Sus scrofa: one gene and its partner. The protein of the gene in region 2 purifies or fractionates together with the protein of the main gene of each other region. This does not show direct contact. Links are inferred from orthologs where the notes say so. Each region holds a gene or a part of one and is shown on either strand. Other genes may lie near its edges. The genes, in order: VCP and APOB.

The links.
Region 1: the proteins of APOB (region 2) and VCP purify together in Homo sapiens (affinity purification with western blotting, with the first as the bait; 3 studies listed by BioGRID). This does not show direct contact. The link is inferred for Sus scrofa from reciprocal best matches to the Homo sapiens genes APOB and VCP.

Annotation. Positions count from the first base shown.
Region 1 is NC_010443.5:235,863,029-235,866,851, forward strand, and holds part of VCP (transitional endoplasmic reticulum ATPase), read right to left. Parts: intron 2,502-3,823; coding exon of another isoform or gene 2,390-2,501; intron 2,305-2,389; 5' UTR 2,205-2,304; coding exon of another isoform or gene 2,199-2,204; coding exon 2,032-2,198; intron 942-2,031; coding exon 799-941; intron 245-798; coding exon 114-244; intron 1-113. UniProt on the Homo sapiens protein: Necessary for the fragmentation of Golgi stacks during mitosis and for their reassembly after mitosis. Involved in the formation of the transitional endoplasmic reticulum (tER).
Region 2 is NC_010445.4:117,306,868-117,310,690, reverse strand, and holds part of APOB (apolipoprotein B-100), read right to left. Parts: coding exon 1-3,823. UniProt on the Homo sapiens protein: Apolipoprotein B is a major protein constituent of chylomicrons (apo B-48), LDL (apo B-100) and VLDL (apo B-100). Apo B-100 functions as a recognition signal for the cellular binding and internalization of LDL particles by the apoB/E receptor.

The DNA of each region.
Region 1 (3,823 bases), on a different chromosome or scaffold from region 2:
CCCACCTCGGGGAAAAAGCCTGGCTATAAGCCTGGGAATTCTTTGGAATTACCACATGACTGATCCACTGAGTAATCACAAAGCATGGTACCAGGACCAGGGAGAGAACTTACCTCTCGTTTGATAGGCTCTCCTTCACAGTGGATCACTGTGTCTGGTGCAACAATGCAGTAAGGACTGGGATCCGTCTCCACTACTTTGAACTCTACTGCACGCATCCCACCCCGAACAAGGAAAATATCTCCTGTGAGAGCAGTCAGCACAAGAGCAGTTAGAGGTGTCTATTACCAGACCAAGTGAGAATCCCTCATCAGAACCTAGTGTTTAGAGTGCCAAGTTCACTAAATATTGCCCTTTCTCCTTCCCATCCCCATCATATTAAGCATCAGGCAAAAAGAGAAAGCTCAACTATAAGAGGCCCTCTGCCACTCAAGACAGTAAACAACCTAATGTATCAGAAAGAAGCCCATCAGGTTTTTGACTTCTAGGGTATAGATAACCCAAACTTTCACAAACACCACCAATGGTAGAACTGTGCTAAATCGTAAATACACTCTAGACTGTGACATAGTCAGAATGGCCCACCTCTTCCTTCGAATAAAGAGAAGATGGTTTACTGGAGTGAGGAGTGGAAATGGGAAAAGCGGGGAGTGGGGAGGAAGAGGAGGAAGGAGAGAGTACACGTGAGCACATGTGTACAGAATGTGTGTGTATGCACACATACATGAGAATGAGACAAAGGTGTCCCAAGGTTTACTCCTGGGTATCCTACAAACAGTCCCTAGAATTATGTCTCACCTTTCCGGATGGGTCGATAAGCTTCCAGGAAGTATGGCTTAAGGTATACCTCAAAGAGATTGCCAGTGATGCCTTCCACTGTGTCATCGATGGGTAGTACATGGATACGTTTGCCGTACTTCACATCAGGGCATGGCTGGATGCTGAGGATGACAAGCAGACTCCACGTTACCAACCACACTGCAGCCCCAAGCACTGGGTGTCCGAAAGGGCCTGGCACAGAGAGCTGATGACGAGCCAAAGAGAAAAGGCAGGGATGGCTTTAGGTGAAGAGCAGTAAGAGGGTAGGGTGGAAGTGAGGGCAAAGGAACAGCCAAGCAGAACAGGTCATATGCCATGTGGGGTCGTGGGGGTGGGGGAGGTGCTAGAAGAAGCTGCTGGGGCTGCTCGCTCGCAATTATGAGCCAAAAGGAAGATCTACACATCTAGAACCCCCACAAAGACATAAGAGGAAGGGTCTTCAGTAAGCGATATCCAAGGATAACCCATTCTGGTTAATATCGGTGACCCAGTATTACAAAAGGGAAACCTCAGACTGAAAAGTGTCAGGGTCAGAGAAATGGAAGTGAAAAAATAATCTTATCAGGTGGTCAGAGCACCTTGAGAAAGTGACTAAGCACCTCCAGGAAGAAGGCTACATGAAACCTAGAATCCATGAAAAAGAATCAGAAGCCAGAGATGTTCCTAGTCAGGTGACAGAAGGTTGGGGAGCAGTGGCTAGAGATGAATCCAGGATGGGGAAGCTTCTTGCCTTAATGTTAAGTCTAAAATCACTCAAACTGGAGCTATCCTAGGTCTGGTTCAAACTATGCATCTCTCCTAGGTTAACTTGGATCCTTAAACAGATCTACTAGGAGTCTACCTTCCATGCCCATATCCCCATCTCATTCCAGCCCCAACACAAGCCATTAATGCAACACAGTAGTAAGGTTACTGGTTCCAGATGGCATCCTAAACCAAGGTCTAAGGTATGATGAATTATACTTTTGACAGGAAAAAACAAAAGTACCAAGAAAGTCATAGAAATGCCAACTTATCCCAAGGGTCATGCAGAGGCAGATTTTGAAATCTCAGAGGCAAAATCAAAACCTAAGACAACCTAAACACATTATGTCGTCCCATAGCTTGCAAGGTCCCAATATCTGTAGCTGCCAAGGCCTTGTGGGGGTACTGCCTATAAAGCAGGCTGTCTCTGGGCTCCCATCCCTGAGGGGTCAAGAACCCCACACACACCTGATGACATCCCCTAGGTGTACGCGAAGGTTATTCCGAACAACTCTATTCATTCGAATCTTCTCATCAGAACATGTGTCATCAGAAAGCACAATGCACACAGCTTCCCGCCTCTTCTTTCCTTTCAGCAACACTGTGTCACCTCGGAACAACTGCAGCTCATCCATCTTGGGCTGAGGAAAGAAGGTTAAGGCCTTTGGGTCACTGGGCCAGGGGGTAAGCAGCAGCCCTGGAGGTTGGGATTCCCAGTAAACCCCACTCTATCTGTGGTCACTGCAAGAAAAATGAGAAAAGAAACCTGGGAAAAGCCCTCAGGTTAAGTGCAATAAGTAAAAATTGCACTGCGGACCCAACTTACCTGGGACAAAGATACCACACTGTTGTCCTCATTGATGGCTTCATCAACAATTAACCGATTGGGACGATTCTTCTGTTTAAGAATGGCTGTTGATAAATCATCACCTTTGGAACTAGAAAGAGAAAATGAAGTCAGTTCTAAAACTTACTCCAGCTCTGAGGACCCCACCAGTCTCTATAACTCACACTTAGGAAAGAAATAGTGGATAGATGAAGCTATGCCTATACCAAGAACTCAGATGAAAAGCAATTCAGCCAAGGTCAAGAAGAATATCAAGTCTATGTTACAATTCCTCATTCGGCAACTCAGTATTCTGAGCACTCCTGGTATCCTAGCTGCGTGGCCCCAGGCGATCTTGTCCCAGGGTCAGGAAACTAAGATGACAAGAGTAAAAGTGGAGGCTGAAGAGTTCCCACTGTGGTACAATGGGATCAGTGGCATCTCTGGAGCGCTAGGACACAGGTTTGATCTCTGGCATAGCATGTTAAGGATCTGGCATTGCTGCAGCTGCAGCATAGATGGCAAATGCAGATGAGATCTGATCTCTGGCCCTAGAATTCCATATGCTGCGGGCAGCCAAAAGAGGGGGAAAAAAAAAGTGAAGCCTGAGCAATAATTAGAGAAATAAAAATAGTCTTAGACAGCATAGAATGGTGATTAAAAAGAGAAGCGTCCCTGTAGTCTGACTTGTTGAGTCTGAATCCCAACCCTGCCAGAGCTTAACTGTGATTTTGGGCAACTTATTTAACCTCTTTGGAGGCTGACGTCCTCATCTATAAAATGGGGACTATAGTAGTACCTATCTCAGAGTGTAATGAACACAAAATGCTCAACAAAATGCATATGGTATCAACGGTCACTATGATTAGCACTGCAGAACACAGCATAAGCTCTTTCTTTGCTAACCTTCTTATAGAACAAAGTGAGCAAGGCAACCTCCCATAGGCTCCAAGACCCACAAAACAAGCCCGGGAACAATAAAGCAAAATTATTAGTGCTACTCTCCTTACCAGATAAACCTGCTGAATGTCAGGAGCCTTCTACCTACCACAGGAATGCAAAGCACAAAGACCATCATATTTGAAAAAAAATAAATACTTGACACTAACAGATCTAGAATCTTCACCAGAACAAAGCTCAAGCTTAAAGGGAGTTTCACGGTAATCTTTGAAAAGACACAACTCCATGGAGCTGGTTCAAAAAGTCAAAACCAGAAGTTCCTGTCATGGCTCAGAGGAGATGAAACTGACTAGCATCCATGAGGACACAGGTTTGATCCCTCACCTTGTTCAGTGGGTTAAGGATCTGGCATTGCCGTGAGCTGTGGTGTAGGCTGAAGATGTGGCTTGGATCTGGTGGTGCTGTGGCTGTGGCTGTGGCACAGGCCAGCGGCTACAGCTCCCATTTGACCCCTAGCCTGGGAACTTTCATATG
Region 2 (3,823 bases):
TCTTGCAGTTGTTGTCAACGATGCATCCACATTTTTCTTGGTGAAGCTAATGGTACTGTCATGATTACCTTCCATGAACTTATTACTCAGAGACAAAGCTGTGGCTAACTTTAACCCTCTCTTTCTCATCAAACTTGAGGTGCCCTCTAATTTGTATTGCAGGGCGTCAATAACAGAAGAAGAGAAAGTAAGAAAATGAGCAACAATATTTGACTGGTTATAAAGTCCGACATTGGTATTCAGTGTGATGACACTTGATTTAAAGGAAAAATCATAGGTAATATTGCCCATGGCTGGAATCAAAATTTTGTTTGAGGTACCTGATACCGCCAACTCTGGAAGAGAAATCTGAAGAATATTCCTAGGCACATCAAGGGCTGGCAGCTCTAGGAACTGCAGGCCTAAGGTGTATGAGGGCACGGAGATGCCAGAACCCAGAATGGTGATGTTTGGGGTGCTAATCTCTTTGGGGATCACATAGCCAAATGTCAACATCTTCACTGTGAATGGAGACACTTCAATGTTGATAACTGGAATAGTGTAGCCAGGAATTTGAAAGGTCCTGGGTTGCTGGTCGAGGGGTTTTTCAACCTTGTACTTATCAAATGTAATTTTTATTTCATTATAGGATTCAGTAAAAAAATCTAATGCCTTGTCCCTGACTGTCTCAAAATGCCTGTTGAAGGAATTGATGTTTCGATTGATAAATGCATAAAATACGTCCAGAGGATTTGGGATGGAATGCTTGTCTTTGTTTTTCTTATACTGAGCCTTAACACTTAAATCAAATGATTGCTTTGTTGTTTTCAAGAATTCCTTCAAGCCTGTCTTTTCCCATAAGGAGATATCTTTCACCTGGGGAACTGTGAGCCTTGTGTAAGGTAGAGTCATTTCAGGGATTGTTAAAGGAATGTTTAGGAAATCCAGGTTGGCTTCTCCATTTATTCCTATGTGGGCCTCGGTGCTTCTCTCATTGTTTACAGCAGAGAAATTTTGATTGTACTTATACTGATTGAACCTGGCACTCGCTTGCCAACTTGCTTGCTGAGCACTAGGACTCAGAAGCAGTGCATAGTTATTCAGGAAGTCTATCTTCCCTGTCAATTTTAATGGAAAACTAACTCTCAAATTCCCCTCATTGATTGTGGATGCAGTAATCTCAAGTGGCTGTGCTGAAAAGAAAAGAGAATTTTTCAAAGTTCCAATAACTTTTCCATTTAAATGAGCATCATGGTTGCCAGTTATCTCTGCTTTCCTTTCTCTAGGTAGGACCATGCCTTTAGCAGTTAGGACACTGCGGCCCACGTACTGACACTCAGCTTGTGAGTGGATTTCAAATTTGGAAAATTTGAGGAAGGCAGATTCATACACCATACTTTGGTTTACTCTTAGGTGTTTGCTTCTGATCTCGTTAGACAATCCAAAGGAAGTAATGGGTCCTTCCACAGTAAAGCTGATTTGTGACTCATGCGTTCCCTCGTCCGAGAATCTGTGGCATGCCAATTTCCAGGACCCTTTCCCAGAAGAACGCCATGCTATGTGGCTAGCTTCCAGCAGGGTTTTGATTTCACTGCGCAGGTCGGCCTGACTTGAGAAGTCCAGTTTGGGGATGTTCAATTCGTGGAAGTACTTTGTGTTGCTGTTCAGGGTAAGCTGATTATTTACCTTGAGGAGCACATCATTACTAAGTTTCAGTGTATTTTTTCCTGTGTATAAACCTGCCACAGTGTTTGATTTTCCCTCAATAGAATTTCCAACAAATAGCACTTCACTGCCGTGCTCTGTTTTCAGGTACTTGCTGGAGAACCTCACAGATTCCTTCAGAACTAGCGGATTGATCTCAGGGTCTGAAAGTTGTGCATTTGCTTGAAAATCAAAATTAAGAACTTCAAATTTAGATTCTCCTTTGGCAGTGAAGGAAGCCTCCATCTCTGCCGTGTTCTCTGAAGTAGTTATGTTCTGAATGTTAGCATTTGCCTCTAATATGAGAAGGGGAGACTGGATTTTCAAAATGCCGTGCAGCTTGCCAAAAGCAGGTACTTCAACTGTGTGTGGGATGTGGGGAAGCTGGAATTCTGGTATGTGAAGGTCAGAAACTTGGAAATCTGTAAGGTTGAGGTTGGGGATTACAAATTCTGGAATTCTGATTTCTGGTAAATACAAGTCTGGTAGAGTGATTCTAGCAAGCATGGTTTCTACCCCATTCAGATCCCTCAGGTATACTTCCGGGACTGGCCACTGCAGCTCACTGTTAAGCATTTGATCAATGGTTCTGATGATCTTTGCTTTTATTTCCACCAAGTCAATTGTAAAGGAGGGGACGTGGAAGGTATTGAGGACAGTAAATTCTGGCGTGGAAAACCTGGATGGGATTTCGATGTCTTTCAACTTTTTGAAGTTTATCTGTACCGATGGAATCTTCAGATCTGTCAGAGGGACGATGAAGTCAGGGGTCTGATATGTGGCCTCCTGAAGAGCACGGAGACTGACTTCAAAGGCAGGTAGGGTCCCAAAGGTGGTCTGGATTTCAGGAACAGTGAACCCTTGTTCTACCAGTGCTTTCAGGTTTTTGGCCCAGTCTTGGATAGAATACTGCTCTGCAAAGTCAGTAAGGTTCTTAGCAGCGAGATCCCACCAGTCAGAGATGTAAGTGACAAGCGTGCTGTAAACCTGGCCAACCAGGAACAGGTATCGCTGGATTTCCTGCTGCACGTCCATTTGATACATTCGGTCTCGTACATCTTCTAGGGTCTCGTGGAATTTGGCTTTCATGTGAACTATGGGTGTTGAACTTAGAGTTCCCTGTAACCAATCAAAGAATAAGGTTATTTTGGTGGCCTTTAGGTTTTCCAGATGGACTGAGATCAAGGCCTTGATGTCTTCTGACAACAGTTTGAGTGCTGTAAATTTCTGTGGAAGTTCTAGAGCCTGAATTTTGCCGTTGATTCTTTGAGTCACCTCATGAAGGTTCTTATTGGTTTCATCTAAAAAATGGTGGTAATCAAATGACCTTAATCTCTTTACCAACATGTCAAGGAATTTGTTTACTTCTTCAATTAATTGTTGGAAAGACAATGCTTCAAGCTGCTTGAGAGTGTCATCAATAAACCAGGTCAGTGTCTCAAGAAGATCTTGTATCTTGACTTGTTGTAGGATACTGCTTAGTTTCTGAACAGTCTCCTGCAGCTTATATTGGTGGGCCAAGTGCACTGAATTGTCCATTAAAACCTGAATGTGTTCATCTATTTTGTACATCTTAATTAACTCATGGACCATGGCTCTGAATGCATTGATTTCCTTAGTTACTTCAAAATCTTCAAAAAGACTTTTAACACAGTATTTGACATGCTCAATAACTTCCTTTATTTCTTGGAATGGTATTGTAGTTCTCAACTGATCTAAAAGCACTCTGGCATCAATATCTTCAACCTGTTGTTTTAACTTCTCAGCAAGGTGCTGAATGTCTATGTTCTGAATCTGGGCCTTGAGTTGTTGCAGTTTTTCTTGTATCCAGAGTCTGATTTGATAATTAATATTCACATTTTGAAACCAAGATGCAGTACTGCTTCTAGTTTTGTTAAAGCCAATCTTTTCAATAAACAAATGCAGATCGTGGATTTTTTTTACTAAATTTACATGGATATGATAACGTTCATCAAGAATTTTCAATGTTGCAATGATTTCATCAATAATCCTAGCAATAGCTGTCTTAAAATCATGTAAATCATAATTATCTTTAATATACTGATCAAATTGTATCACATATGTTTGTAGCTGAGTTAGTTTTTCATTAAGGTTGATTTTGGCATTGTCTAATGCAATT